Arabidopsis thaliana: one gene and its partners. The protein of the gene in region 1 interacts with the protein of each later gene in a pairwise test. Each region holds a gene or a part of one and is shown in the gene's direction. Other genes may lie near its edges. The genes, in order: AT2G18090, SDG20, AT3G24820 and PRE1.

Region 1 (9,640 bases):
ACTTAAGGAAAACACGAAATGAAAGATTTAAAAAAATGTTTTGAGTAACAAATTTCGAGAAACACTTTTGGAGGAAAAAAAAAATATTGTTAATTTTAGCAAATTAAAATCACCCCTTTCTCTAACAATTTCTTATTTAGTCATGTAAAAGGTGGACTGTTGAAGTATGGGGCGGAGAACAAACGTCTAAATATTTAAGGTTACAATGATAAATACTCATTCTTGTGCCTATATATATATATATATATATATATATATATATATATATTACTTCGTAATTTCGTATAATAGTTGATGATAAAATAAATTACTTCGTATAGTCATAGAGTGGGTTCTTGTCAATCCATGTCGGAGGAATAAATAAGTAATTATACTGTTGGGATCTCATTATTTTATGTTTTATTATAAAAAAGCAAGAGCGTTGAATTTAAATTCGTTCTTGTTGCACGAATGTTCGATTTCTTTTCTGATTTTCTCCCAAAAGACAAGTAATATATATGGAGAAATGATTTTCATTTGTTTGTTAATTTGTATGTTTAGAACTAAATATCGTCTCTCCGAAACGCTTGATAATCCAAACCACTCCAAACAAAAAAAACTTTTGGGAAAAGAAACAGGCAATAGGTGCTAAGATGAGGAAGCATAACCACAAACAAAGACTGCAATTCCTAAATTATATCGACAACAAAATAATTGCCAATGCTCAAGGTATTGCATGGATCTTCCTCCCCGTTGTTAGCTTTCTCTGCTCTTGTTGCGGAGTTGGTAATCTTTTGGGTTGCAATGGATACAGTCTCTTCTGAAGTCGTTTGGATCGTCATGTTTCGATCTCGTTTGTTTTCTTTGGTAAAGTTGTGTCTTGCATTTATGTATTTTTTTTGGAGTATTTCTAGGTTTTCTTGTCTTGTTATCTTGTACAGTAAAACCTCTATAAATTAATAATGTCGGGACCGAGAAAATTTATTAATTTAAAGAAGTATTAATTTATGCAGAGATTTTACAAATTTTGTAATTTTTTACAAAAATGTGATCTAAAAGGTAGTTTTTCTATACAATCAATAATTTTTCTAAAAATTATTACGAGTAGAAAACCATTATTAGATTTAAAAACAAAAAAAAACTTTTTTATACGTAGTAAAATTATTAGAATTTAATTTTACAAAGAACTAATATAAATTAAAATAAAACAATACGAAAGTCATATTTTACTAAGCTTTACATAATATATATTCATAAATATAAATATATATATTCATAAATTTATACAGTTATTAATTTAAAATATTGATGGGACCATATATTTACATAGAATTTTCAAAAATTTTATTATCTTATTAATTTATCGATTTGTATCAATTTTTACACTAGTCCCAACTCGGAACCAGAAAAATTTATTAATTTATAGAAGTTATTAATTTATCGAATATTAATTTATAGAGGTTATACTGTATTTCTCTTTTATTTGGGTTGTATTTCTTCTTTTTTTACTGAGTTTGAGATTTAATTTTAATAAAAATTATCAGTTTGATAAAAAAAAACTAAAAATATAATTTTCTTTATAAACTAATAAAATTAAGTTTCTCATTCTAGCTAAAAGGCTTAGCTTAATATTATTATGAATATTATTCATCTTTCCTCTTTCAAAAAACATATTTTTCATCTTGATTATCATCGGTTGCAACCAAAACGAAAGGCTAAGTTTCATATTCATTTTACTCCCAAACCAAAACAAATAGAGGTAAATAAATTTTTCGTATTTCGTACTGGAGCTTTAATGTTAATTTTACCATTTGTTTTCACCCAAAAAAAACCACCTGAATTTCTTGAACAAATTCACAAGGAAATTAAATTTGTTTTCTGGGTTTTAATTTGTAACAAAATATCACCTGGTTTTATTAAACTAGTTCCATTAGTTAAAATTAAAAATTGCCGGTATTGTTTTGTTAAATATTTTATTTTGATAAAATCCTCTGATCTCTATCATTCGAAGTCAAAGCTGTTTTGTTCACGTAAAACTGCATGTGTGATCCTATATATTGTATATTGATAAATACGTTTAACAATGACAATCTAGTGAGATAGCTCATGTCACATCGACCTATGATCAATGGATTACTTCAGTTTGATAATATGTTTGTATGTGATCACGAATTATATATTATATACCAATCGATTTTTCATTGTTTTATGTACTATAATTTGATTTCAGCTCACTACATATAATATTTAAACGTGACATGTTCATCTTTTTTCGTCGTCGATCGACATATCAACTATAAGATTAGTCGGTTGTACGTATAAATCTTGACCTTTTACCATGGATTTGTCCTATAAAAGCTTACTAGAGACTAGAGACCAGAACGCATTAATATTATTAGGTCTATCTTCTATCACTTCATAGTGTTTCTTTAACACTCATGTTTTGCAAGTGTCGTTTTGTACTATTGGAAAAGATTATTGTTATAAAAAAAAAAATGAAACAAAACTCTAAAAAATCAGTTAATCTTAGTTATAAAACATTATCCTGCTAGAAATCATTGCAACTTTAATAAAGTATTGAGTCTTGAATCGTTATGTCCACTTCGTTTATTTTATATAAAAGTTTGTCAACTAATTAATAGCTGATTTTTTTTTTCTTTTAAGAGAAAGAAGATCTCGAAATGAGAATTAAAGATAAGATATATGGTTAGGTAGCGAGTAGAAGACCAAAGCAAGAAACTACGACCACGACATCTTGCACATAAGAAAAAAAAAAAGTAGTTCAATTTCATTTTCGCTTTGGTCCACTTTATTATTTAACAAAAAATAATATCTAATAAATTACATTAATATAACAGTCCGTGTTAGACTAAGACACGAAGCCTCCCCCACTAAATCGACGCAAATAAAAATAAACAAATGGTGGGGTTAAGAGTTTAATTCGAGCTGTGGAATTTTTTTATAAATATACAAAAATAATAATATTTAAAATAATATATATTACGATAACAAATTTTTATGTCAATCAATTATATTTTAAGAATCTTCTAAAATCAAATATTATTGAACTAATAATTTGAATAATAATTTTAATTCCACTATTATTGAAAATATTCATATCATTAGTTTTTAAGGGTGTATAGTGAAAAAATTCCTCAATTTCAAATATGTTAATACAAATTTCCCTTTTTAAAAATTATCATGAAATTGGACAAACTATATTTATATTGAAAAAGATATATAAACTTATACAACACAAATTGTAAACAAAAATAACATGATGTTCTTCAATAAAATTATAAATCATCAAACCTAAACTCTAAAATTGTCAAAGTAAAAAACCTAAATTGACGAATTCTAATTTATTATAGCGAAATTCTCTGATGTTTGTATGATGTCGAAGTTGATTATGAGAGATTTTGTAAAATTTTGTGTTTTAATTTTAACCATAGTTTATCTAATTTTTACGACAATGTAGAAAGACAGGATTAAGATATTTGAAAAATTGAAGTTTTTTTTTATAAAATATATAATTGAATAATTTCTTATAGAATTTTAGAAAAAAATTTTAGATAAAATTAAAAAACACAAATGTAATTCTTTTATGTAGAATTTGGGGAACCAGACTACAACAAATCATAAATTTCTCTAAATTTACCTAAAATCATATTAAAAATTAATAAATCATTATGAATCTTAAATTACTTAAAATATAAATTTGAAAATACTCCTCTAACTCAGAGATCAATTTTTTCTAATGCCTCGTGATTTTTTTGCATCTTGTAGCTTAGTCACCTATATATATTTTTAGTGGTAACAAGATTCTCTGTTAAAAAAATAATAAAAATTAAAAATAATAATAGTTTATTTTATGGGAAAAGACGCGAGTGGCTCCCACCAGCCTCAACTTTGCCCACGTGGAACCAGCCATATGCGCGGCGTTTAGACAACAAAAAAAAAGCGTGTTGTTTCTTTCTCTCTCTAGAAAGTCAAAAAAAGGAGACAGACAACCAAACACTGCCTTGTCACATCTCTCTCTCTCTTGCTTTTGGCGAGTAACGAGTAAGTCCATTTTCCATGTGCCCACTGTGTCTTCTCTCCTTACACGCCACCATCTCCTCCACCTCCTCCTCCCTCCCTTCTCCAATTCCCAATTCTCCTCCAAACCCTAGGGTTAGGGTTTCCACGATTGCTTCACCTTCCCTTCTTTTTTTAAAACCTCAGATCTTCCGCTTCCTCGTTCTTGTCTTTTTGTTGAGCTGAGAAGCAAAAAAAAAGTGTTCTTTGGCTTCACGAGGAGCCAACAACGAATCGATGCCGGAAATCGATCTTATGAGAGTCGATCATTGTGTTTCCGATGTTAAATTAGATGATTCTTCTTCTTCTCCTCCGGGATTCTTCGATGGTGGTGGTGTTCCGTTAGATTCGGATGTGAAGTTAGACGAAGAAGATTCCGATTCTTTGAAGAAGAGAGGTAGACGTGGTCGTCCGCCGAGAATTTTAGCTAAAGCTTCTTCGCCTCCGATTTCGAGGAAGAGAAGAGAAGATGAAGATGTTTGCTTTGTTTGCTTCGATGGTGGTAGTCTTGTTCTCTGCGATCGTAGGTTAGTGAAGTTTTGAGCTTAGACAAGTTACTCTCCCAGCTCCATTACATTCCTACTTGTAAAAATAGAAACTTTTACTTGTGACTGATGATGATTCTTTCTTAATTTGTCAGGGGATGTCCAAAGGCTTATCACCCAGCTTGTGTTAAGCGTACTGAAGCATTCTTCAGATCGAGATCTAAATGGAATTGTGGTAAGTTGTTCAATTTTTATCTGTTTTCTCTTCTTTGAGATGGTTCATAGTGATGAGGATGGTTTTTTGGTTTCAGGTTGGCACATATGTACTACTTGTCAAAAGGATTCGTTCTACATGTGTTATACTTGTCCGTATTCAGTTTGTAAGAGGTGTGTTAGAAGCTCAGAGTATGTAGTTGTAAGGGAGAACAAAGGATTCTGTGGAATTTGTATGAAGACTATAATGCTTATTGAGAATGCAGCTGAAGCTAACAAAGAAAAGGTATGAGAATCCTGTCTACATTTTGTTACTTTCTCTTACTCGCAGTACTACAAGGTTATTTGTGGAACTTGAGGTCTGTTCTTGTAATGTCGCTTTGTTTTTTTAATGTGGATTCTTTCTTCTAGCTAAATGTATTACATGTACATTTTCTAGGTTCAGGTTGATTTTGATGATCAAGGCAGCTGGGAGTATCTTTTTAAGATTTACTGGGTTTCTCTTAAAGAAAAGCTAGGTTTATCGTTAGATGATCTTACCAAAGCAAAAAATCCATGGAAATCTTCTTCTTCTACTGCCGCTAAGCGAAGAACTACTAGTCGGGTTCATGAAAAGGATGATGGAAATTCTCCTGGGGTTATGAAAATACGTCGTGCTAAAGTAAGGAAAATGGATGCTGTTTCTGTGAGTAATTTGGGTCCTTCTTTGGATTCAAACTGTTCTTTGGGTGACAGACTTCCACAATTGACTAGTGCTGCTACTTGGGCAACCAATGAGCTTTTGGACTTTGTGGGGTATATGAAAAACGGTGATATTTCTGTCTTATCAAAGTATGATGTCCAAACTCTCGTGCTAGAGTATGTGAGACGGAATAATCTACAAAACTCTCCTCAGAATTCTGAAATAATGTGTGACTCCAAGCTTATGAGATTGTTTGGAAAGGAGCGAGTGGACAACTTGGAAATGTTAAAGCTTCTTGATTCTCACTTCATCGATCAAGTTAGGTCTCCAGTCACAGATAATTCAGCCGGAGGAGTCACTGAAACTATGTCTTACCAGGTTAATGCGGGCAGAAGCTGTGATAGGTTAAATACATCTGAACAGCATCAAGAAGGGGAATCACAGCAATTGAACGGGCACAGTATTCAAGTTAGACCTTCCAGTTCTGATAGCAGAAACCATGCAGTTGTAAAACCTGACACAAGTGCCACTCTGTCCAATAAGCCAATTGATGGTTTGGATACAAATATGGTATGGTTATATGGAGATCCAGATGGGAAGATTCATGGACCATTTTCGTTATATAACCTGCGACAATGGAATTCAAGCGGGCATTTCCCACCAGAGCTGAGAATATGGAGGTTGGGTGAACAGCAACACAGCTCCATACTTTTGACTGACGCATTAAATGGGCAGTTCCATAAAACAGGGTTATTACAGAATCATTCTATCCCCAAGCAGGAAGTGACAGCTACTATAGCTAACGATCAAAACAGGTCTGTGGCTGTTCCTAAAATAGAGAGTAGAATACTTGACTTCAGCCCCAACTCAGTGTGCACTGACCAGAGTGTTATTTCTAGCAGTAACAGTGTCATCACAAGGAGCTCGGATGTGAGTAACAAAAGCGGAAACAATTGTAGCCACGCCGTGCCATTGGATTTTTCTCTTTCTAATGAAAGGGATACTGTGGGTTTTATCTCTCTCTGGGACAAAAGAAAAGTTGAAAGTTCTTTGCTTGTACAAAGCCCAATAAGCTGTTCACTCTCGCTGGCTACATTACCTAGAAACTCAAACTGCTCTCTGCCACCACATGAAAGATGGAGTGCTGGTCAGACAGATGGAAACAGTGCAGCAACGACTGCTTGCAATCAAAACGGTAGTCTTAGCGGCTCAGCTGAGAAACAAGTCACGGCTACAGTCCAGTCATGTGGACAGAACTGGAATGCTGCAACTCCAAGCAGTGCTTCAAATGTGTGGGATTCGAACTCGGGTTTGACGTCTTTCCCAGACAATCAAGAAATAGACTTTTTAGATCTCTTTAGTCCAACTTTCAAATTCAACTTTGCATCTACTACCACTGATTGGCAACCCATTGTGGCTGGACCTGACGAATGCGACGAATCAGTCTCAGATCTTTTGGCAGAAGTGGAAGCCATGGAGTCCCAAAAACGTCTTCCTTCTCCAACTTCGACATTCCGTGGTCCTGAAGAATTATTAATCCGGCACTCAATAAACGATAGCTTCAGTCCCGCAGAAGGACATAGCCCAGCACTAGATGTAAGCAAAGGTGACTCCATGAGCTCCACAAACGATCTTCAAATGCATTCACGATCTAACAGCACCGTGCATTTTTAGTCGTGGGCTCGGGTTCACATAGAGAGAAATCATAACCTGGGGCACAGGTTACCATAGATCATCCAATGTCCTAGATTCGTCTGATCGATGGTGGACTATGCCCTCTTTCTTCTCTTTTTTTTTGCAGGATTATTACAGAACATAAATAAATGGCAGAATCATCAGCAAAAATGAAAAAAAACGAGTGGTGCATATGTAGAAGATGTTTCTTCGCGGTATTTTTGACTGCACCCATTGTTTTCTTCAGTATTTAGGTTTTGTAACGTTGTCCTGTGTTAAGATTTGCACAGACATACCCAACTTCTGTATCTTTTTTTTTTACATTGTTTGTACTTAGGAACAAGTATAAAAATGGGAAGAAATTGTTGTCCATGGATGTAATCAAAACATTTGTAGGGATCATATCATCTTATTATTCTATATATATGATAATGATAGTGTAACGTTTCATTCTTTTTGTTTTGAATGTTTCAAATCTATTTATATCATGACAAGTGTAGGCTCCAGTTTATTCTACTTGTTTTTGGAAAATGAGACGAACTCTATTGATCGTTTCTGGATTTGGAAACTTTTTGTTGTTTCTTCGATTTCGTTTTTGTTGATCTGAGTTGATGGTGGAAGCTACGTCAAATTTGACGCCGTCGCAGAGATACGCGGCAAGCGCTTTGTTTGCAATCGCGCTTAACCAAGCGCAGATCAGCCAGTCAAAGCCATTGGGAATCCCGGCCACCGGAAGTACCGGAGAGCCAATCAGCAGCGACAGTGATCCTATCTCCGATGAGGCGGATCTCTGGGTCCACGAAGTTTCCGGCCTCCTCCGTCCTGTTCTCAGGTGATCTTGAAATCATCTGGAATAGTCATGTTCATATGCGTCTCTGTGTGTGTAATGTATACATTTTGAGCTGTCTCTGTAATTTGCTTTCAGATGTCTTCAGATTGATTCATCAGCTTGGCATGGCCTTGAAGAGATAGCTGCTTCTACTCAGGCTAAGGATCACATCGGTGCGGTATGATTAATTTCTCTCCGTATTTTGAAATTTCGTTGTGAATGTTGAGGAGCTCTTCTTTATTGGATGTTACTTTTGGTTTATTGTAGTTTATCAAGTTACTCTCAGAGGATGTGAGTGATGATGATGATGATTCTAGTGAAATGGTGGAGAAAGAGACCGCCTTAGCTAAAGCTGCTGATGCTATGGATCAAAACATTCGAAGCAGCTCTCTATCTGTGGAATCTAAGATGGAGAAACATGTGGAATTCGAAAACGAATGCCGCGACAAGTATTCTGTTCCCGAGGCACAGTCTGGTGCTGAGGTTAAGGAAACGGAGAGCCACGGGGAGGGTGAAATTAGAGATGGAGGCCACAATCTTGGGATTGTTGAACATGAGAAACCTGTTGGGGAAGTAGCATTGCTTAGCCATGAGAGAAAGATAAATGTTCTTTACGAGCTACTATCTGCTTGCTTGGCAGATAAACATGAGGAGAATGAGATATGTACACGGCGTAGGAAAGGCTATGATGCGCGTCACCATGTTGCTCTGCGGTTACTTGCTACTTGGTTTGACTTTCAGTGGATTAAAATGGTCTGTTTGCTTCATTCATTCAAATTATTTTGTAAATTTTATGCTACCACATAGCATAGCAACCCTATAGTTACATGTTAGCTATCTTGTTGAGGATTTAGGATCTGATGACATTGGGATATTTAGGATTCTCTGTTTTGTGCATTTGGATTGACCTGAGAATCAATTTCTGTATTTTCTAGGAAGCAGTTGAGACAATGTCTGCATGCTCTGCCATGGCATTGCAAAAGTCAAGTGGAAATAAGGAAGAAGAGTCTTTGTCACCAAATAGTGAATGGGCTAAGTGGAAACGTGGAGGCATAGTTGGAGCGGCTGCTTTAACAGGGGGTACATTGATGGCCATCACTGGTGGTATGATGTCTTCTAACTGTTAATATCTCTTCCAACGTTTAGAAAATTAAGAGTATGTGTTTGGAAAATGCTAATTCTTAATCTGTTTTGATTACATATTATGTGAAACAGGATTGGCTGCTCCAGCAATAGCTGCAGGGTTCGGTGCATTGGCTCCAACTCTAGGCACAATAGTTCCGGTAATTGGAGCCAGTGGGTTTGCTGCAGCTGCTGAGGCTGCCGGAACTGTTGCTGGTTCTGTTGCTGTTGCAGCATCTTTTGGAGGTAAATAAAAAGTAGAATCAGTTTTAGATTCCTTTAAGAAATAAAATGAATCAAAGTGATGATAATTGTATAGTTCTTAGTCTTCTGTTTTGTTTCTACATGTGTTCATGAATAGCTGCTGGAGCTGGGCTCACTGGGACGAAGATGGCTAGGAGAACTGGTGACATTGAAGAGTTTGAATTCAAAGCTATTGGAGAAAATCATAATCAAGGAGTTAGTTTTAAATTCCTGCTGTTTCATGTTGAAATCTCTTTGCTCTGCATTGATCTCTTTGTTCTTTCTTTATTTTTCTTGTTGGTGTAATAGCGATTAGCGGTGGAGATCTTAGTTGCT
Region 2 (8,322 bases), on another chromosome or scaffold:
TCAGATGCAGGGACATGAATAGAATGTAACCGTGGGCAATCTATTTCTGAGACCACAACTCCCACGGTGCAATTAATTTTCAGACAATCATCCTTCAGAAAATCAGATGTTTCCAGCATAAGTCTTCGAAAAAAGCGCTTGTAGCCCCTGTAAGCATATAAAATTGAATAAGGATCCGTTGAGCGAAACAGGGAAGTACAAAACTCTAAGAGGGAATTATTCCTCTGCATTAATAAGCAATGAGATCTTTCTAATAGAGAGACAAATCAAAGCCAAAGGCATCACCTTCAAGAAGAAGAAACCAGAGACAATGGTTGATTAATTCATACAAGCAGACTTAACAACAGATGTTTAAAAAAGCAGGAAAACCAAATGTACGAATATTGAGAGCAAAAGACAATACTCTGTTGCTTAACTCATACAAGAAGTTTCAAACCTAACATGAACAGTTTCATAAAAGCAAGGTTTGTGCTGCTATATGCAGGTAAACAGTAAGCAATGTTCCTACTTCAGAATTAGCCTACCATATTGAAAGAATTGGTGCCTATATAGTAAAACATCACAATGACAGGTCTTTGAAATCATGCCAACATGTGAAAACACAATACTTTTCAAGAAAATCCTAAATATCATCAGTCCAAACCCTCTCTCGTTCCCAATCAAGTTTCCTTAACTACAGAACCAACGCTACATGCTGGTGAAGCAGCAGGAACCAAATTCTGTTTATGAAAAGTTCAGGTAAACTAGTTACAGAATGTCCAAAACAGGTAATAGAACCTTCATATTCTAGAAACTTGCTTCTTCTACTCAAAGCCCTCTCTCTTTCCATACGTCACAGACTCACAGTTTCAAGCAGACCACAAAAATAAAGCCAAGCAGCCTCCAGCATAAAAAATAAAGAACATTGTTTATCGCTCTCACCACCCATCTTTCAATTTCATATACAGGTCACACAACAAAAAAGAAACAAACAGATTGAGAAATCCACAGCTAATGTATCTTTATTTCCTCTGAATTTCTCAATCTCTTTTATATTTTTTAATGTTGTGAGCTCAATCTCATTTTGCCTTCAACAATCTACACTCTTGAGTCTTGACCACTAATAACATCCGTAACCTCATATAAACCCCAACAAAGGAGCAAAATTTGTTCTAAAAGTAATGAGCTTTCACTAGAAATCAGAGACCCTAAGCCAATTCTTCACCAAACCCTAGCAAAATGGCTAAGAGAAAAATAAAAAAATTGAAAAGAAGAAATCGAAGAAACGAACCACATGCTGCCACGATACTTGAGAGTATAAGGACCGCTCTCAAGAGCACGATCGAAGTGGCTATGAACCTTATGCTTCCCTTTACCACTCTGATCAAGCAAAGAAAGCTCAAAAAGAGCCCTAACATCGGTACCATCGCTAGCTAAAGCAATGAAAACGGAGACATAAGCCGAATTATCCTCAGGATTCTTGCCATCAGGATAGAAATAGATAGCCCATTGATAACCCCCGACGGTGAAAGTATCGCTGGCGATGTGTTTTCCGATCCCGATTCCTTTAGCCAAAGAATAGCCTTTGATTGTGAAGCTGTGTGATCCGTTTATGGTCTGTGTCACCGAGAGAGAAGTCGTCGTCGGTGGCGATGGCATTTCGAAATTTCGTCGTTGTTGCTCGCTCTTTTGCAATGGATTTTGTCTTTGTAAGTTTTTTTCCTCTGTGAAAATGACAGATTTCATTACACAGACCAAAGCGACGGTAGTAAATCTATAGTTATGATTAACACAAAAAAACTCGCCATTTTTCTTTAAAAAATTCTTACTGAAGTGAAATTAAAATAGAATTTAAGGATATAAATAGAATTAAACGCAACGACGTCGTTTGTATATCGCTGGCTGAGAAAAAATATGCAGCGACTGCGAGAGTCACCACCACCGAAGACGCGTTGTCTTGGAGAAGCTTCCGACATTATTCCGGCCGCCGATCGATTTCTCCGATGTGCGAATTTGATTCTCCCATGGCTAAACCCTCGAGAACTCGCCGTTGTTGCTCAAACCTGCAAAACCTTATCCCTAATCTCGAAATCTCTAACCATTCACCGATCTCTCGACGCTGCACGATCCTTGGAAAACATCTCAATCCCGTTTCACAACTCCATCGATTCTCAACGATACGCGTACTTCATCTACACACCTTTTCAGATCCCCGCTTCATCTCCTCCTCCGCCGCGACAATGGTGGGGAGCTGCTGCTAATGAATGTGGATCGGAGTCTAGACCTTGTTTTGACTCAGTGAGTGAAAGCGGACGTTTTGGGGTGAGTTTAGTGGACGAGTCAGGATGCGAATGCGAGAGGTGTGAGGAAGGATACTGCAAGTGTTTAGCTTTCGCGGGGATGGAAGAGATAGCTAACGAATGTGGGTCGGGTTGTGGATGCGGGTCCGATTGTTCGAACCGGGTTACGCAGAAGGGGGTTTCGGTTAGTTTGAAGATTGTGAGAGATGAGAAGAAAGGTTGGTGCTTGTACGCTGACCAGCTTATCAAGCAAGGCCAATTCATCTGTGAATATGCAGGTTACAATTACATTTCGATTTCATATTACATGATTAGAGGAATATTAGCATTAGGTAACGTTAACCAACTTTTGGTTTCCTAATAGTATAGTGATTCGTTTTATTGCAGTAGGTCACTAATTTTGGAAGATTGATAATTGGAACTTGAAAATCAAGCTTAAGATTACATGATTTGAGGAATATTAGCATTAGTTATTAGCCTTTTACACTTGGACTGCATATGATTTAGCTCGATGCGTTGAGATGAGATTCTAGCATGGTATTAAGAGTGATCTCCATCAGTGAAAGATCTGAGCTTTCGAAATGTTCTTGTTTCAATCGTTTAGAGGTAGTATCACAATGCTGGATTTGGAGATTAGAGATAATGACAAATCTTTCTTCTTTCTTGAATGTGTTTTTTCTTTGTGATCTGCCTTAATGACTTGGTTTATGCAAAAGTCATAAACTTGATTTTGTCGTCTCTTCTTATAGGTGAGCTATTGACAACAGATGAAGCACGTAGACGTCAAAACATTTACGACAAACTCAGATCAACACAATCCTTCGCTTCAGCTCTTTTGGTCGTACGCGAACACCTCCCTTCAGGACAAGCTTGTTTAAGGATAAACATCGACGCCACAAGAATTGGGAACGTTGCTAGATTCATCAACCATTCTTGTGACGGTGGAAATCTCTCCACTGTTCTGTTGAGAAGCTCAGGAGCGTTGCTTCCTCGGCTCTGTTTCTTTGCAGCAAAGGACATAATCGCAGAGGAGGAGTTAAGTTTCAGTTATGGAGACGTAAGTGTGGCCGGAGAGAACAGAGACGACAAGCTAAACTGCTCTTGTGGTAGTTCCTGCTGTTTGGGAACGTTGCCTTGTGAGAATACCTGAATTCATCATCATCTTGTCTCGCTATACTAATGTCCAACACTCTTATTATTTGAAAAATTCGAGTTCTATGTTTGTAGCAAACACAACCAAGCACCGTCATTGTCATTCGGAAGTTACACTTTCTTATTAATAGCGGCTCTACTGATTTGGAGAAGGAATGGGGGAAATTTAGAAGTAATTCACGAAAATGAACCCACCAAAATGAAGTCATGAAATACTAAGAATTTCGTGAAATAAAACTAATTTTGAAAATGGCAAAGTACGGAAAAAGAAAAGGGAGGATTAATGTTGTGAAGAAAAGGAGCACGACAGACATGAAGGTTGGTTAGCTTACTAAAGAACTCCACACGAAACGGTCAACACGATTCTCGTGCCTCTCCTCTCTCAGACACTCTCACATATATACTTACTTCTCTATCCATACGAAATTACGTACGAATACGATACTTAGATTGTGGTAGCTAGCTATACTATACAATTTGTTATTAATCATTGTATCGTACATTTGTTTTACCTTTTGAGACAATTAACTTTCGTCTGATTTATCTTCCTTTTTTCCTTAAGATAAAGAACATTCATGTGAATTTCGTTATATACCACATGCATGCATCACTGGTTGTCTGGTTGATTTAAGTTATGTAAGCAAAAACATACAATTTTCTCTCTATATATACCACATGCATGCATGTACTGATTACATATTGATATTGGCATCAATCTGCTCCGCCCAATATTCTTGGGTACTCAGGGAAAACAAAAACAGATAATTTAAATTGCATCACATATTCTAGACTTAAACATCAAATCGATGTATGATTGGTTTTTCTAAAAGGAAATTAATCGTGTATACTTTTTTTCTTTTCTTTTCTTATCAACTAAATCGTGTACTTCATTTCATATTATTGTCAATGTCCTGAAGTTTATTTCTCTATACTTCGCAATTGTATATCTCTCATTTCAACAACTTTCGAAAGTTCCCCCCTTTGGAAACGTTTATAAGTGTTCGTCTTGTATAAGCAAAAGGACTCTAGATTTTTATGATTATAAATCTCAAATGTATATATCGCTAATTAATGGTTTCAGACGCAATGTACGCATTTCCATAAGTTTGTTATACTAGTTCTAACCATAACTAATATATTTACATTTAATAAGACCTAAGATAATAAATATATATATATATATATATATATATATATATATAGCGAAATACTAATTATAAACTTATTACTTTATTAAACACTCTCTTTGCACGTGTGCCTCACACCTTCTTCCCATTGATACGCTCGTTCTTGTACCTAACAATACGTAAATATATAACCTAACTAATATTACATATTAATCCATTAATAAGTTATGGTGAGCAAATTTGTTATATTTGGGTTACAAGATATATAATTTATTATTTGCCACCTTCTCAAATGTGAAAAGGTTATATATCAATAAAATAATATTGACACGCCAATTATAGTAAATATTTATGTGATTTACTCGTCAATAGATAGATACATTGTGTTATACTTCCATTACTCTATTTCAAACATTTAATTAGTCACCACTCACCAGTGTCGCAATTGACTAATTTAGATGTTATGATATTTTTTTTGTCAGTCTTTAAATTTCAGTTAATGTTACCCATGAACATAAGTAAAATTTATAGACGACAAAAAAAAAGCTTACAACGACTAAAATAGTCAAATGCGAAAACACGTGTGAAATACTATTAATGTCATATATTAAAATCTTAACTTAAAGGAAGAAAATAATTTAATTAGTAAATAACATAATTGGGGGAAAATGGTGAAAAATCTTTGAATAACATTTAAAGCTATAAAATGCAAAACACCAAAAAAAAAGTCATTGACCAAACTAATTTTGGAAATGAAATAAATTTATAAACAAACTAAATAACAAAAAAAAAGATTACCACATTTACCTCGCGACCTCCTTCATGAAACAAACGTGGCCTACTCCGTTTCTTCTTTTACTTATATATCCACATTCACACATGTACATATACACTTCATATAAATTAACATACACATATAAGTAGAGATATCGTTTATCTCGCAAGAAACTCTCATCAACTAAAGCTAATTATTTAATGTTTGTTTGGTGATATGGCTGATCAGCAGCGAGGCCACAACACCTCAGATTCTCGCCGGAAATCTCTAGCCGGAAAAAGAACCTCACAGCAAACTCCGACGTCATCACTTAGTTCCGGCGGAGTATCCATGGCAGCTGCAACGACGGGGACAGGGACGGCTTCGCCTTGTGGGGCTTGCAAGTTCTTGAGAAGGAAGTGTGTGAGTGGATGCATTTTCGCTCCACATTTTGGGTCAGACCAAGGAGCGGCTAGGTTCGCGGCGGTTCATAAGGTTTTCGGAGCCAGCAACGTGTCGAAACTGTTGCATCATATTCCGGTGAACCGTCGTCATGATGCGGTGGTTACGATCTCATACGAGGCTCAAGCTAGGCTCTCTGATCCTGTCTATGGCTGCGTCTCAACCATCCTTGCTCTCCAACAACAGGTAAAATTAATACTTGATTAACTTTTTCTAATAAGATATACTAATGATCAGGTGTCCAAATTTTGTTATTTAGTAAAGCTTGTAACGGTTAAAATCGAACCGAATATTTCGTAAGATTTTTTGTTAAATGCAAATTCATTTCCTATGCTATATTAAGACTAATAAATAATTGATGCTCATAATTAAATAAAAAATACTTTTCTAACCATAAATTAATTAGGTGGCCTCGCTACAGGCGGAGTTATCGGTGGTGCAATCACAACTGATAAACAGTAGAGTCGCAATGGCCAACGTTATGCAACAACAAACTCATCACCAACAACAGCAACAACAATTAGTCGTTATGCAACAACCCGAATACTCCAACAACTCCTCCGCCTCCACCACTCTCGCCGGAGCCGCCATGAACAGCTTCACCATGACGGCAGATGCAGCAGCCGTCAGCTATGACGTCATGGCTCCGACTAACTTAGAACATTCGTTGCAGCCAATGCCACCGCATCAGCAAAGGAGAGGAGATTATCAGCATGAGGATGAGGAAGAGAGCGGTGCTGATTTTTCGGTGGCTGTTGGATCGACGGCGGTGGCTTCGAAGGTTATATTTCCGGCGGAGGATTTTCACCGGAGATGAATGTATTACCTAGGGTTTGTCTTTAATTTAAATATATCTCCGTTTTTATAATAATGTTGAGAAAGAGAATAAGTATATCCAGCAGACGTATACTATACATGTAGAGTTGTCGTGAAATATTTGAATGAGATATATGCATGTAGTTATTGGTTAATTATCATACTAGTTGGAATTAACTGAATTTACATACGAATCCAAATTAATAAATAAGTAAAGGATTTGATGATCCAACACCAGCCATTATCCTCTATTTTGATTTCTTGGACAAGAAGAATCAATCAAGCAAATCTTTTCTAAACCCTAGAAATCGGTTCCATCTCAATTTCTATATACAATTTTAATTTATTTTCGCTGAACAAAACAGGAAGAAAAAACGATTGAATTTTCCAAAATTATCTCACCATTGTTGGACTTGTATTCCTTTTGAAGAATAAAAATTAACCGACACTGTTCTTTTAAGTAAAGTTTATAAGAAAAATTAACTATATTATTAACTGTTATGATCGTTTAAGCTCAACACAACTAAAGACAAAAAAACAAAAACAAACATCAAATTACAAACAAAAAGGTTATGTTCTTTCCAAAGAGTAGTGATCAGTGAACAAGACCAAACAAAAACCCTCGTCTCTCTACCTCTCATGTTCTTCACATCCTGCAATTACAACCACACAAATAAGTCTCAGATCAATAAACTTATTCAATCTCAAATCTTTAACAATCAAATTCTATTCTGAACTGAATCAATTGATCATAAAAGATCGAGTTCAAAAATACCTGAATCTCGGGGAGATTCGAGTGTTGTTACGTGTAAACGAGAGGGAGGAGGAAGAGAGGAAGCAGCAGGAGAAGGCGAGCCGAGATTGCTCGAGGGATTGCTGTTTTGTAGCCAACCTTCTTGAACTTGAGAAGCAAACTGAAGATTCCACAGGACATCTTCAATGGAAGGACGTTCTAAAGGGTCTTTAAGGAGACACCTTACACATATCTCCATCATTGTCTTCAGTGATTGGTCTGAACAAGCTCTATGGACCGTTGGATCCACCATGCTCCTACGTGCTCCATCATCCGCTGAAATGCTTGCTTGTAACTACAACAAATAAAAAAGAGTTTTTAAAGTAGATGATAGCGATTCCACATCAAGCTACATATATATCGAATGGTGTTACCTGCTCTTTTAGAACATCGACTTGACTCTTTGCTCTCAATGGTCTTCCCACTATAAGTTCAAGCAATATCACTCCAAAATCATAGATATCGATTTTATCTTCGTCTTTGATGCTGTTAAGAAACAGAGGATTAAACCATATAAACCGGTTTACAAGCTGATGAGAAACAGAGGATTAAACCATATAAACCGTTTTTGATTCTTTTGAGAAACAGAGGATTAAACCATATAACCGGGTTTACAAGCTGATGAGAAACAGAGTAAAGAAGATTATTACACACCTTGGAGTGCCTTTAGGTCCGCTCCGAGATCCTACTTGCCCCACCTTAGAAAGGAAAGCAAAAGAGATTCAAAATTCAAGAAACAAAAACATTCGAACTTTTGACATCGTCATTTACCTTTCCAAGACCTTCCACAAGCAATGGAAGATTATAGCTACTGAGTTTCGCCGCAAGGTTATTGTCAAGCAAAATGTCTGTCATTTTAAGGTTGTTATCATAAACACCAGGCACAATACCGGTATGCAAGAACTGGATCCCTTTTGCTACACCTATCGCTACGCTTAT
Region 3 (8,248 bases), on another chromosome or scaffold:
TGTTGGTCAAGTTGAAGCATCTCAAATGTCCTGTATAAGTCTTATCTATGTGGAAGATGAAATACATGTATCTTAGAAGTAGTTTTCGGGTCGAGAAAGCCTTTCACGGTGTTCCAAACAAGCTTGAATCCGTTTCCAGCATTAATAATGTACATCTGATTCAATGTCTGTCTTCAGTGAACCAAAACCAATGTTAGTGTTCTTCAATGGTGAAAAGTGTATAGGTTGCCATTCAAATAACTTTCATACACCCACCTCAGGATAGTTGTCACCGTCAATTTTCTGCATTCGCATTACAAGGTCCTGAGCTAATTTTCTAAAGCTCATCCAGCTCTGCATCAAAAGAAGCATTTAAGACCTCAGGGATGTGACAGAAGTCCCGGTTGCACTGAAACAGAATGTTGAGAAAGGAATGTAGAGGTACCAACCACTCCATGCACATCTATTATGGTTGTCGAAGAATTTATGTGCCTCTTTGCTGCGATCGAACAAGCTGGAAACTTCTCAGAAAAAGTCTTTTCAAAACCCTGTACATGATATCTCAAGAACCGCTCCAATGTGGTAACCTTCATTAGCTTGCCGGGGTCAATTTTACCAAGCCGTTCAATGTAAACAGGCCGTCCCTCTCTATCTACACCATGATAACCATGTGGATAGTATTGTTGTACTTCTTCATATTCATCATAAACAAAATCCTGAAGGAATATGTCATCATTGCCAGTTAGGAAAACAGCAAAACAAAACCCATGTGGAAAGATTCTTAGCAAAATTCTAAACTTTAAAGGTCTTTGTAGCACACTCATAAAACAACAATATCTTTACTAACTCAAGGAAGGTTCTTATCCTTCACCTGTATTATAGTATCAACTCCATTCTCTTTCCTCCACTTTAACATTTCTTCCCACATCTGAACTGTTTTCTCAAGATCAAACCTCCTCGCCTTCAAGAATCTGCAACAACAAACCTAAAACTGATCATGACACAATCCAAAATACTCACTGACATGATCCTGCAGTAGTATCACATTACCTCAACATGGTATGATAATCATCGTGCCGTGGTGGAAGCAAATCTAAAGAAACCAAAGCTTTTCTAAATACATTCACTGCTTTCTCCTCTTCTTCATCTCTCACATCCTCAATCACAATTGGTGCATATTGATCAGCGACACGCTTCCCTCTTTTCCTTAAACTATGTGTCAATTTATTCGAAGCTTTAATAGCTTTCTTCTTTAAAGATCTAGAACGAGTTCTTGTAATCTTCTCATCCTCTGAAACCTCAATGTAATCTTTACTCTTTCCTTTATCAGTTTCTGGAACCAAAAGTATCTCACCTAATGCTACAACAATAAAAGCAAACATAATCAAATACTTCAAAAATCACATAAAAGCAATCAGATTTTTCAAAACCAATATCTGAAAATTTACCTGGCATTTGTTTTTATCAAAGAAACAGATGATAATAATGTAAAACCTATGTATCTGCAAAAATGTAGATTTAACTCAGATTTATATGAAATCGAATCATCAAATCAAATCGTAATTTTAAATCAAACCCAAGATCAAGAGACAAGAATCATCAAATAAAAACTGATCCTTTATTGCTCCAAATTCAAAGATCCAGAAAAACAAAAACCAGAAATGATTTTCTCAAAATTCGACATTTTTCGTCTTCGAATTCTTTTCTTACCTAACAAGCGATCTCACGAAATCGCGGAGTATCAAAATCAGAAATCTTTCTTTAAATTTTCCAGATTTAGGTAAAGAAGGAAAAAAAAGCTCTCTCTTTCAACAAAAACGTCGTTTTCAGATTACAAAGTCAAATCTTTTATATACATATACGTATAAAGTTTTCCTCGGAACGTAGCTTGGAGAAAGAAGAAGACGAAGCGTCGTATTCAAACCCAAAATTAAATGCAGAGAAGAAGGAAGAAGAAGAAGAGAGAGAAAGCTTTCACGATGGTTATATTCGCCATTTTTATAGCTTGCTTTAACATGGAGTAGAAATGAAAACCGAAACTAAACCGGTAAGTAAACCAGGTTTAACCGGAGATTTTATTAGTCAACATTTGTTTTATTAATCAATGCTTTGAGATTTGGAGAGTAATTAACGTTACGGCTAGTCAAAGATAAAGGTGTTGTTAGTTAACTTCTTATTAACGGCGAGATTTAACGACCGCTTGGTTGTTGTAGCGGTGGTTACGGTACGCGTAAGCGCTAAGCTAACCATAACTGTCAATTTTAACAGTATTAGTTTGGTTATGTGTAACTTTTATTTTTGGAATTAAAAATCTGATGTGGGTCCACCGACAGAATAGTTTTTTCCATGTTGTCTCCACTAGTTGTATGACACGTGGTAAGTGCCGACGCAGATTTTATACGGAAATAAGGAAGTGCCACGTAGCTAACTTTAGGTCCAAAAGGAGAGGGACAGGTAGACCACGTGAGTTGATCAATTCATGGCCTTGCTTACATATGAAATAATAAAACCTTTTTTTTTTGTTCATGGCAAAATGTTTTTATTTGAATATAAAATTACTTTTACGCACCTCTTATTTGATATAATATCTCCAGTAAAATCTTAAGAATTACACAAACTAGCCTGAAGAAGAAGAGAATTTTGTTAGTTCCTTAGTCAACTGTCATGCCATATAGTGAATTTGGATTGAAGAATATTTGTAGAAGATTAACATAATTGGGACGCTTAGAAGTTATAGAACTCATCCCTAAGGATTGAAGTATCAACTGATAAATAAAACTGAAATGAGGTGATAAACTTCAACAGTGATACAAGGAAGAAAACAAAATCTGAATAGATAAAAACCAAAACAAGAGTTAAACCAAAAGATAGATGCTGATTTTCTTCAGTACTTGATCGATGCAAGAACATCGAGCTGGGATCCAAGTTTCTCCTCTGCAACCTTCTCGGCCTTTGCCCTGAGCTTGGTGAGTTGCTTCTTACGCTCATACAAAGCTTGTGACCTCTCCTTTCTCTTCACCTCAAGCTCCTGTAAAATCATTAAACCAACAGTAAATTCCCAGTTTCTTCCACAGATTAAGTGAGATAATTTTCTCCTGACTAAACTAAGTACAATGATATGATCTTCAGTTATAAATTAAAACAATCAGCAAAAGACCCAGAACAATGACAAAGATGTGTCAGTAGATGCTATTCAAATCAACTCATAGGAAACTTACAAATACAATTTTAGTAAATGAAGCACCTTTTGTTCCAATAATAAGGCAGACGAAAAGGACAAAAGGGACATACCTTGATGGTATCGTAATGGTTCCAGCCAACTTCAGAAGACAAACGTCCCAACAAGCAGTACTTGTGACCAGCCTGAAGCCTCAACACCCTAAACAAAACAAAACAAACGAAAACCAGTTGACAGCTAAAACACATTGAACATAACCAAAATTACAAGATAGAACAAAGTTGCAGAAACATTACTTGAGAGCATCAGGAATGACCATTCTCTTGACCTTGTCATAAGGAGGTGGTACTCCCTCAAACACCTTCAAACGTGCAAGAGCAGCAGCACCACGCTTGGTCTTGTGTGGAATCATCCTGTAAATGACAAATGATCACATTTCAAATCCTCCATCACACTATCAAACATACAATTCCTAACACAGACATCATTGCACAAAGATCAAAAGCTGACCATTTCTTCATACTTAATAGTAACTAACCAACCTAAACACAAATCCATCCATTGATGCAAACCCTAACAAGCTACACAAAATATAACAACTTTCCAAAAACCCAATACTCAAATTCTAATCTTCATTTTCAAGAATCACATACTAAGCTAAGAACTTTAAGACTGTGAGATTAGAATACGAACCCACGAACGGTACGCCAGAAGATCTTAGACGGAGCACGGAAATGAATAGGACCATGAGAAGGTTTAGTGTTCATGCGTTTCCTAAGAAACCTCATGTACTTCATCTTCTGACGAACCAAACCACCAGACAAACAAATCTCCTCACATCGGACAACAACAACACTCTGTCCATTGAGCAACTCTTTAGCTATGATCGAAGCAAGACGACCACACATATGGTGACGTGCGTCAACAACGACACGCTTTGAACATATCCCTGACCCAGACACCATCTTCTCGATTCGAATTCGCCTCTCCTTAGCTTCCGCTCTTCGAAAAGATCTCAGCTTCACTTCAATGGCGACTTTATATATGATGCGACATTAGGGTTAAGAGTTCTCTAAACCCTAATTTATTGGGCCTTTTGTTATTATAATAAGGCCCAGTAGCCCAGTAACAGGCCATGCCCAGGCCCATTTTTTCTACTTTCTAAGGCATTGGAGATTTTCAGATTCTTCTTCTTCTTCACAGGATCAGCAATGAATATAGCTTCGAGGATTCGACGAAGTTTTTTAAGAGAGAAGAAGGAATCTTCAGATGGGAATAGCTTGAAGAATGGATCGAGTGTTAAGGAAGAAGGTAAAGATGAGATTTTGGGAGTTACTGATGAGTTAATCGATCATGTCAGATCCTTCACCATTGATACGTTTAAGAACTTCTCTCTGGAAGGTAATTACGAAAATTGGATCCCAATTTAGTTAGGATTTTTTTAGTTTTGTGATTTATGAAGTTGATTTTAGTAGTTTGGGTTGTAATTTCTAAAACAGATGAAGAAGAAGAAGTATCTGTGAATCCTTTGGGAGATGAAGATAATGGAATGAGTTCATCTGCAAATGTGAAGAAGGATTTGTCTGATTGGCAGGAGAAACACGCGGTTCTCGTGTTATCGAAATCGAAGGTTTTTGGTCTTGAATTTTGAATCTTTTTGTGATTGACTTTTGTTTTGAAATGAATGGAATTGGTAGCTGTAGAGATTACAAATGATCAAAGTTTAGCTTTTGGAGCCAATGGTGCTATTTTAAAGTTAGATTCATATCTGAGTGTGTGGGCTGATGATTCTTATATAGCCTATTACATAGCTGTTGTCTTCTTGATTTCCTAAATTTTGCTTCTTTTGATGATTGAACTTGTGTTGAAATGAATGGAATTTGTAGCTGTTGTCTGTAGAGATTTCAAATGATCAATGATTGGATTTTGGAGCTAACGGTGCTATTTAAATTAGATTCAAATAAGAGTTGATGATTCTTATAGCGCCTATAGAAAGTTGCTGTCTTCTTGATTTGCTTGTAGCTTTGGGTTTGGTCAATTAGGAGCAATGGATCGAATCTTATAGGGAAATTTGAAAGTTACTCTTTAGGACTAAGCAAGATTTCTAAATGGATGGAACTGGTAGTGGTAGAGCTCTTGGTCCACTGGTATCACTTGAATCAGAATCGGATCAGAGTTTATGTGCCGAATCTTATAGTTCATTTGATGCTACTATCTTCCTGAATTGCTTGTAATCTGGTTAGGCTCATGTTAGTGAAAATGGTAAACATGCTCGTGTTTGCAGTTCAAGATGATTTTGTTACACAGTTGGTAAAATTGAATTTGGTTGATAGGACCATTGGGTTTAAACGAATCTATTTTCAAAGCTGCTCTAAACAAGATTGATTTCGTGTTACAGGAACTCTCACAGTTGAGATTCAAGTTATGCCCGCGAGTTTTAAAGGAACATCAGTTTTGGAGGATATATTTCCAGCTTGTGAGGAAGATTGTGGCAAAGTAAGTACTTTCTTATGCCAAAAAATTTCGTTTGAGATGGTTCCATAACTCCAGGTGTAATGCCCTTAGTAGGTGTTAAATGCACCTTACTCTGTTGTTCTGTGTATGATTCCACTTTCATATAGAGATAGTGAGATGGGTTTTTAGCTTGTAACAAAGTGATGAATAAAGATCACGAGAAATATGAGTTTAACCATTGGTAGTTCATGGAAATTATTTGCAGATATGAGGTGCTAGCAATCCAACAGGCTCAAATCAGGAGGATGGCCATGGAAGACAGTAAAACTTCTGAAAGCAAGGGTGTATATGAAGTTGAAATGTCAGAAACAAAGCAAAGGTTGAGTACAGGACCTGCAACTCCGTGAAGCTTCGGTGGTAGAGTTGGGATGGAACATGACAGGTACTGTAATATTACAGACTACGTATTTACTTAATACAACTATTATCAACGAGAATGAAATCACTCTAAGCATCCTATGACTTGCTTTTGCAGTTTTGCTCACAAATTAACCAAACAAAAACGCTGAACCATCGGAGAAGCAGGGCTTGATCAGTAAATATTGTTCATGTGTTAAAAGGTGACAAAACCAAGAAGGTTTTGATTCTTCAGAGATGTAAATGATCATGTGAATTTAGTACTAGTATCAGACATAACACAGTGGTCTTAAACGCTTTGTACTAATAAGAATAGACATCATTATTTAATGTTTTGATTCATCCGATGAGCAAATGATCTAAAGAGGTGAAATATTTTACAGAAACCAAGAAACCTAATCTTTAGCATGAAAGGTGCTACTAACTTAGACTTTTGAAGAAATAATTCCAGAAAGCAAGACAGTGAGTGCAGTGCCAATAAAGAAGAGAGAGATGAAATCTAATCGAAGCATTTTACTGCAACCTGTATGACAGAGGAATTGGTACAAGTACCCACATGTGTGAAAAGCCCAATGAGATTAGAGTATCAAACTATCAATAAAGAAGATAGAGATAAAACCTGTGACTAAGGTTTTTGTTCAGACAAGTTCACTACTTTTGCTACTTGAATCCAAAGTATATGACTTGTAAAGTAACTCTAATGCAGAACCACAAAACTCAGACCTTCACTGAAGTAACCAAAGAACAATGAAGAGATTTACAATACTAATTTAAGTAACTTGACAGTTAAATTAGACATTTATTTGTAGCAAATGAGAGAGATTAACATTACATTATTCTTGACTAACAAGTTATACACCAACCCTAAAACCCCACAAAGTTAGTCTGTGTGCAATTTTCATCTCCTCTGTTCCAACACAGATGTTTCCTAAAGCACACAACTTTACATCGAACACAACTCATTTCATGGCATCACTTTGACCCATTCGTAACGTCCAGGCAATGGATTGTCCGAGACAATGTCAAAGTTGTACCTGCAAAACCATAACTCCCCCAAAGTCAGACCAAACTCTAAAAACTCAAGAGAATCAAGACACTAAAGAAAATGGGATTTGTACTTTTGAATGAAGAATCTCTGTTGTTGCTGTTCTGCGCTAGCAAAGAAGTCTTCAATCTCACTTTGTATTGATTTTGAATCACTTATCATGCTCCTATGAGAGAACCAACATATCAAAACTCAATCTCTGTATTGTAGTAAAAAAAAAAAGTTTGGAGCTTTAAAATGAAAAAAAAAACAGAGTTAAAGTTACCTGTTTTCTGATTCCAAATCAAAACCTTTATCTCCAAAATTACAATCAGACCTAGATATTCTCTCATTATCACCACAAGCTTCTTCCGTCGTCGTATCCGGCTCTAATTTCTTCGCCGGACCGGAACTAGCCCTAGGGTTTTTCGTTTGACATTGATTGACACTAGGAATGAGCTGTTGCTTCTGCTGTTTTCTGGTATTAGTGAGTAATGGAAGCTTCACGAGACGGCGGCTCCGGAGCTGGAGGTAGTTAAAGGAGTCTGCTTCGTCGGAATGAGAACGGAGACGGTGGAGGGCGAGGTTTTTAGCGGCGGCGGCTCTGGTACGGAAACCTAGAGCGGGTGGGTGAGATTTATCCTTAACGGAAACGGCACCGGCGACTTTTGACTTCTTAATGTATTTTCCCATCTCCGGGAAGGTGGTTTACTGAATCTCCGGTCGAGAGCGAAAGGAGGGAAGCAACGAAGGAGGAGGAAAAAAGTGATTTTTAATCTGAAAAAGTGAAAACTAAAAGGACAATGGAAATATTTATTTTAAAATCGAATCAAAAAACAAATTAGACAAATTTTTAAGGTGTCAAAGGCCCTCTCACCTGATTGTCATCATTTTCTTCGAAAAAAGATAAATCAAAATTTAATTAATTGGAATTTAATTTAATTTTTGTATTCTATCTGATTAAAACTTAAAAGTCTACTTTACAAAAGTAAATTATGAACAATATATGAGATATTTAAAGTATTAATTTGAGTTTGCTTGAGAAAAATATAGTTTAATACGCAAATTTTTAAAAAATATTCATTTAATACGTAAACTTTGAATATAATCATTTAATATATAGAAAAAAGTTATTTTACACTAAGTTAATGTTATCTAATTTTTTTACGTTGGTATAAATTTTGGCTGATAAACAA
Region 4 (7,059 bases), on another chromosome or scaffold:
TAAGATGCGTTTTACTCGTTTGGATTTAATCATTTTAATTTATATAAAAGACATATTTTTGCAAAAACAATTCGTAATATGTACACTTAAGTGTTAAAAAATGGCAGAATTCGTAAACTATTCAAAATATTATTGTTAGATTTTTTTTTTAAACGGCATTTTAGACAAGAATCCCTATTTACCTAGAGTCTTCAATTTGAATTTAGAAAATATGGAATTAAATTTAATGTACTTTCTTAATGATACTTACTGTAAATAGATAGAATTACATAGATGTATCAGTATCTTCTTAATTGCCATTGTAGTAACACGGCAAAAGTCTACCGTTTTACGTGTGTGCACACACACTACACAATCTGTCGATGCTTTGTTTGTGATGTGATTATGTGAATATATGATGGCGAAACAATTCTTATCAAGGGACATGTTATCCGTGGAATTTGTTCGACATTTCCAGCGTAATTCGAATACTCATGCTAAATCCAGAGAAACATTTCGCAGTTATAAATATAATTGTTGGACATCTTATGTGTGTTGTATATTTCGACCTGATCAAATATTTATAAATATAATTGAATAATTCAAATCTTTGAACATAGAATCGAAGATGCCGTTTTGACGACTTTTTCAATGTTTTTTTTTAATTGTTATTTTATTCACTGCGAAGATATGATTGGTGCCATTAATGCATATTATCGTACTATAGTGTTTTTGTAATTCATTGGAAAAAAAAAAAATTGCTCAACTTTTCCAAAGTGAGTTTTTATAAATTACTTATTTAACGAGTCCTTCATTTCCACATGATTACTCGTGTTTTTTACAACATGTTTGTAAAGATGTGAATTAATTGCGAAAAAGTAGACACAAAAACATTGTGGAGCCTATGAGACCAAACATTTAGTACCCGAACCCACATGGACTAACATGTAAAATCTCCCTTTGCAATTTATTAGAATGGTCACTTTCTTTAATAATCTTGTATATATAAAACACACACACACACACCAACACACTTTTATATATATTCTTGTATTCACACATATAAGAAAAATTGATAAATGTTTTCTTTAATTATGTGCTTTATTAAAAAATTGTATGAATTAATGTTCTCGTTGAATTTTTGTGGTGGATAGATCATTGACATATATATGGTGTACTTACTATACTGTTGTCATTCTCTTGAATTATAAGTGTGAATTTCATGTCGGATGATATCGGTTAGAGTAATGAAATGTTTGGCTATATAACAAGCACAACGATGGAGAAAATAATTTTCTTATATATTTAGTATATATTGAGCAAAAAGTACTTTTAATAAGTAACGTAACGTAACATTGATTTCGTTAACTATGAATATAATCCGATCCATGTCATGCAAACCTGTCGGAAGAGAACCATTCTCACTTATATTTTCTTGTTGGTGAGAATATATTAAACTGTTATTGAATTACTAATGAAATAGAATGTTGTGATAAATTAATACACCACACAAACGAAATATTTTGAGGGATAATGAGGGATTTCGAAATTTATATAACCTTTCATAATAATAATAATATGTTCAAACAGATAATTGTATTCGACTGTTACATACTTGTCGGATCTTTATTGATAATGTTATTGGACAACAAGATATCTAAAATTTTGATCTTATGGACCCGAGGGCAGCATGTAACACGAGACATGGTGGTGACACGTGACATAGTCGATGTTTTGTGAACATTTATATAAATTAATACTCAACCAATAATGGACCAATCGAACAATTAAATTAAGTTATATGAGACATGCGATTTTATTCACTTCAAAATAAAAAAATTCTTTAAATAAATTATTTTAGGCAAAGTGTAAGTGTGCGAAGAAGTTTGAAATAAATGGTCTGAACGAAGTTTTAAAGCCGATAGATACGTTTCTTTTAAGCATTTGGTTTCCTTTTCACGTTTTATAAAAGAATTAATTATGGATTTACCATTTTTTGAATGATATTTATGGATTTTGTCATTTTTTAAATAATTTGTGGATTTTGCTCTTTTTCAGTCTAAAAAATGAAATTTAGCATAGCTTTTATTCGTTATATTAAGGTTTAGTCGAGTTTTTTTTTTGTTTTTTAAGTTTAGCATTTAATATAAAATACTTATTTTTGTAAAAATAATATCGTAAATACGTACATTTATAAGTACTAAAATGACAATTTCGTAAAATTTTAGTAAAAATGACTTTTTCAAAAGATTTTGATGAAAACGGCAAAATCAACAATAATCCTTTTATAGAAAATATTTGTTTTATATCTACTATTTTTAAGTTACATTGACATTCTATAATTTTTTAAAAGTTATCACACGAAATATTTTACATATGAGGTGAAACTATTTATGGCTTAGCAGTTAGAAAACAATGTTCCATAGGAGTCAATAATTAGGCTTCTTCCTTTCTAAAACAAATGTAGTTAGTATGGAAGATAGAATTTACATAATTCTCTCTATGCTTTTTTATACAAGTTTGGAACTATATATTTTATACAAGTTTAAAATATATAGTTTGGTAATATACAAGATTTACAGATAAATATACAAACTGTACCTAGATATTGTGGAATACAAATTTAGAGAGACAATTTAGGCGATAATACTAGTTCTAATATTAGAAGAAAAAAAATTGAATGAAAAGTCATGTCATCACATGGTAGTTGCCTTTTTGTGAAATTGCAGATGAAGGGCCACAATGTTAGATGAACATGAAACACTTATCTTGACCTTCATCAACCCCATCTTTGGGAACTTTTCGTTTCCTCCATTTAACTATTCAAATCTCCTCCAATTATTCAAAAAATTTAGTACCCATTTATTTATCCACTCTATAGGAATTATACTGTAAAATTTTCAATAACTAAGCATATGTATATTTGTGATCCATTCTAGTCATAATCATTTTCTTTTTTTTTGGATAGTTGAGGCATAAAAAGTTGGGGTTTTGGTAAAACAAATCCTAAGAGAAATCTATTTTTGTAATTTTACCCTCTACTTCTAAAATATGCAGAATAATCATAAAAAAACAAAAATAATACGCAATATATTCCTTATACATATATTGTAAACGTATTCACGATCACATACATTTTAAAAAATCTAAATTAAAGAAGAGTTGAACTCTTTGTCTCGAGGGCTTCGATTTGATATAATACTTCTCAATTTTTTTAAAACTTGACGAAATCTGACAATAGCAAAAAATGTTATATTGCGTAGTATTTTTCACTTTGTAAAATTATTCTATATTTTCTGAAAGTAGAAATGGACGATTTCAAGACTTATTTTCCACAAAATCCTAAAAAGTTACGAATCTTGAAACTTGTGTATCATTTGAACTATACACAATAACTAACTAACCATGATTGAAAACGTTGTGAAATAATTCAATCCCGCCATTACCTTCGTATAATGATTGGTAATAGTCTCGACTGATGATATGTATATATACGGCTTGGAAATCTGTAATAAAAAATGATTTCGAAGTTTTGTGGTTTAAGGGCATTCAATCTATCGCTTTCTTCTCCCGTGACATCATTGTCGAGGTTTATTGCTGCTCTCCGTCGCTCTCTCTCTCTTGTGGTCCATTGGCCTATTTAAATCTCTCTTATCACATTCTCAATTTCTTTATATTTGAAGTGTATTCAAAACCCCAAAACACTTTTCTCATTCTCTTCTCTATTTTCTTCTTGCTCTCTAGTTTTTCTTTCTTCTTGGTCGTTTCCTTTCAGCATAAAAACCTTATAAAATCATAAAAGCTTACACCTACTTGCCACATAGACATAGCCGATCTCATTATATCTCTATTTCTATTTCTCAATAGAACTTGTTTGAGCTAGTGTGAGAGAAGTAAAGAAAGAGAGAAGAATCCACAACTTAGTTAGGGTCTTTTCTTGCCACATTGTTGAACATGTCGAACAGAAGATCAAGGCAATCTTCAAGTGCTCCAAGGATCTCCGATAATCAAATGATTGACCTCGTATCTAAGCTCCGTCAAATTTTGCCGGAGATTGGTCAACGACGTCGTTCTGATAAGGTATCACGCATAATATATGCATATATTCATTTATAACGACCATTTAACATTATCCATCGTGTAAACCTATCCAAAAAAGGAAAGAACAAAAGTTTTGTAAAAAGAAGAGTGGACACTAAAATCAAACAAGAAAGAAAAAAGAAGTCGGAACTTTTGACTCCGGACATTAAGGAACATATATACCAATATTCACAACCTTTTTCTTCCATATTTACATAAGAGATTACATCAAAATCATCAGCTTGCATGCATCTGCAAACGCATAAAAGCGCATGCATTGGTTCAAAAAACATATATTATAATGATTATGATTTTATTTCGTTTTTGTTGTTGAAGGCATCAGCCTCGAAAGTATTGCAAGAGACATGCAATTACATACGAAATTTGAACAGAGAAGTTGACAATCTGAGCGAGCGTTTGTCTCAGCTTCTCGAATCTGTCGATGAAGATAGCCCTGAAGCCGCCGTTATTAGAAGCCTACTCATGTAATCTTTTTTGTTCTTTTGTTTGTTTTTGACAAGCCTATCCATGTAATCTTAAATGATCGCTCTATAATAATTATATTTTTAACATAATCGTCTTATTATGTAAAATTCAAAGAGATGGGCTTGATCTTTAATGACATACGAATTTCATAGGGTTAATTCCATAGTCAAAAGTCTCCGACATATATGTGTGTAGCAGAACTGCACGAGCATTGCCTTAGCAGGTGCATTATTAAAATAAACCAGTGGGATGAAATTTGGTGGAGAAGAATCTTTCTTTTTTTCTCCCTAACAAAGAAAAAAAAAACAGAGATTGTGATGTCTGAACTCGATTGTGTCAGTCAAGGACAGTAAAATTGCGAGAGGACATTGTTAGTTGCGAGCATTTAATTTTATACGGAATAAAAAAAGTTATTTGGCACATTGTTTTTGAGGTAACAAATCATCTAAACCTCAAAATAGAGATAAAAAGCAAAAATAGAAATAGAAGACAAAATCAAATAAACTCTTAGCCATTTTGGAGGGGAAAAGAAACCCCATCTTAACTGTCACAAAAACGTTTATACACATCTAAAGGAAAGTTTTGCCTTTTAGGACGTCCACACAAAGAAATTAAATAAAAATCAACGTTATAGTTTTATTTGATATCTCATAATTCTACATGCATGTAGTTTAAAGTTTAAACACACGTATACGCATATTGATATACATGCACCCATGTACATACATTTAGACAAGTTTGGTCCTTTCAAGGCGTAGGAGACTGGTCAAATCTATCACTCCTAATTTTAAGCCATATAGCTATACCGGTTTGGTCCTTTCAGGGTTTAGGAGACTGGTCAAATCCGACTCCTAATTTTAAGCCATATAGCTATAAAAATAATCACAAGAAGAATTACATGAAAAAGGAGAGCATTCAGAGACTAGCTTTGTTACACTCTTCCACCTAAAACGATCTTAATTTTTTTTTCTTGTTACATAGATACAATTTTCAGGTCTTGTACCCTTTTTGAATTATTATTGTAAAATTTTGAGATATACTAAATAGAATAATTAAATAGCGGAAACGATTTAAACAATAGAGCAATAACGAAACGACACAATATTTAACAAGGTATCGGTTGGTTCTCTTTCAAACCAACCACTAGTCCTCGGCTGCAACAAAAGTTTATTAGATCACTTCAAGAAGTAAAAGATATACTTAGAATTTCTACAGTAAATTCAAATACATCTGTATCTAAGAACATGAACTAAGGTTAACAAGTAAACTCATTTTACTTCCCTTTAATCATGTATGAATTCTTCTTGGAGAAGTCTTTCCAAGGTGATCTCTCCCCAAACTCCACAGCGACACAAGTTTCACACAAACTTATCAAACACTCTGTTTTCTATTTCTCTGTTTTAACAGCAATCTTTTGTATCTTGAAAATTGGAGATGATGCTTGCAACACGTTGTCCTTATCCACCACAAAAGCAGAGTATATATATGAATATGACTCTTACAGAGAGCATCAAGGAAACAATTTGGATAAAAAGATTGCTATAATAATTGGTTCTTTGCAATCAAAATATGAAGTGAACTGTGACAGTCCAAGAGCTATATATGTTTGTCTAAAAATATGAAACGGGAACATATAGAAGTTGAGCTACACTTCATAAGGGATATGACCAAGATTGGTACTCTCTGGTCAATCCTACTGACATATTGTGTAAGGACAAAGTTGTGTAATGACATCAGAAGCAGGTAAATGAATATTAGATGTAACCGTTTGTCGAGGTGGAGATTTGTTGATTATTTCAACCAAAGACTCAAGAAGCTTAGAGAGTGAAGCTTTGGTTATGGAGGTTTTAGCTAAGTTAGTGTAAACGTCATTAAGTTATGTTTTCTTTATAGTAAAACAGGCTAAAACAATATAAAATACAAATTACAGTACTCTGTTATGTTTTTTTTTTTTTAATCAATTTCCAAGATACTTCCTACACGGGGAAACAACTTTTAGAATCTTTCTCCCATAAATAAAGTTCCTTGCGAAACACGTCGTTGGACTACCGAGGTCCAATGGCCGAATAGGTTACTTCTGCCACAGTCCAAGATTCTTCGTTTCGCTTCTTTCGTGACGAGGAGGAACCAGTCTCAAGTTGACTTTTACGGACTAAATAACCAGGCGGTCCAGGCGGAGCGATCTCTATTGTGTCGCTTGCGAACATGACAGAGATTGATAGCATCGTGGGCCTATCCTCAGCACATTCTTGAACACACAAGAGACCAATCTGTATGTATCTTTTAACTTGGTGTTGTTGAAATGTTGATGAATCAAGGATAATTTGATCTATGATTTCGAGCCCTTTACCTTCCTTCCAATTCCTCCATATCTATTCATCATAAACAAAGCTTTAAGCGTTTATATCAATCACAATAAAAAATATAAAAAAAAGACGAAAATGCTTTGGATGATTATTACACTTACATATGTAATAAGACTTTCGTCGTTCTCCGAGTATCTATAAAAGTCTC

What was found.
Region 2: the proteins of AT2G18090 (region 1) and SDG20 interact in a two-hybrid assay, tested with the Arabidopsis thaliana proteins (one large-scale study listed by BioGRID).
Region 3: the proteins of AT2G18090 (region 1) and AT3G24820 interact in a two-hybrid assay, tested with the Arabidopsis thaliana proteins (one large-scale study listed by BioGRID).
Region 4: the proteins of AT2G18090 (region 1) and PRE1 interact in a two-hybrid assay, tested with the Arabidopsis thaliana proteins (one large-scale study listed by BioGRID).

The regions. Positions count from the first base shown.
Region 1 is NC_003071.7:7,860,208-7,869,847, forward strand, and holds AT2G18090 (PHD finger family protein / SWIB complex BAF60b domain-containing protein / GYF domain-containing protein), read left to right. Parts: upstream 1-3,986; 5' UTR 3,987-4,293; coding exon 4,294-4,583; intron 4,584-4,696; coding exon 4,697-4,776; intron 4,777-4,852; coding exon 4,853-5,040; intron 5,041-5,193; coding exon 5,194-7,110; 3' UTR 7,111-7,613; downstream 7,614-9,640. Other genes in the region: AT2G18100 (transmembrane/coiled-coil protein (DUF726)), read left to right, coding at 7,722-7,942, 8,036-8,117, 8,207-8,692, 8,875-9,043, 9,155-9,307, 9,423-9,520, 9,614-9,640.
Region 2 is NC_003074.8:938,083-946,404, forward strand, and holds SDG20 (SET domain protein 20), read left to right. Parts: upstream 1-1,817; 5' UTR 1,818-1,893; coding exon 1,894-2,557; exon of another isoform or gene 2,558-3,028; coding exon 3,029-3,429; 3' UTR 3,430-4,012; downstream 4,013-8,322. Other genes in the region: BPM4 (BTB-POZ and MATH domain 4), read right to left, coding at 1-147, 1,271-1,725; LBD20 (LOB domain-containing protein 20), read left to right, coding at 5,550-5,960, 6,181-6,591; AT3G03770 (Leucine-rich repeat protein kinase family protein), read right to left, coding at 7,221-7,243, 7,366-7,678, 7,758-7,869, 8,038-8,081, 8,155-8,322. UniProt on the Arabidopsis thaliana protein: Histone methyltransferase.
Region 3 is NC_003074.8:9,060,487-9,068,734, reverse strand, and holds AT3G24820 (BSD domain-containing protein), read left to right. Parts: upstream 1-4,258; 5' UTR 4,259-4,368; coding exon 4,369-4,558; intron 4,559-4,656; coding exon 4,657-4,787; intron 4,788-5,555; coding exon 5,556-5,653; intron 5,654-5,876; coding exon 5,877-6,018; 3' UTR 6,019-6,053; intron 6,054-6,146; 3' UTR 6,147-6,381; downstream 6,382-8,248. Other genes in the region: AT3G24840 (Sec14p-like phosphatidylinositol transfer family protein), read right to left, coding at 66-167, 256-333, 429-695, 851-950, 1,030-1,339, 1,428-1,434; AT3G24830 (Ribosomal protein L13 family protein), read right to left, coding at 2,864-3,007, 3,271-3,358, 3,454-3,570, 3,851-4,122; ICK3 (Cyclin-dependent kinase inhibitor family protein), read right to left, coding at 6,993-7,062, 7,147-7,239, 7,339-7,745.
Region 4 is NC_003076.8:15,953,756-15,960,814, forward strand, and holds PRE1 (basic helix-loop-helix (bHLH) DNA-binding family protein), read left to right. Parts: upstream 1-3,612; 5' UTR 3,613-3,933; coding exon 3,934-4,059; intron 4,060-4,395; coding exon 4,396-4,548; 3' UTR 4,549-4,804; downstream 4,805-7,059. UniProt on the Arabidopsis thaliana protein: Atypical and probable non DNA-binding bHLH transcription factor that integrates multiple signaling pathways to regulate cell elongation and plant development.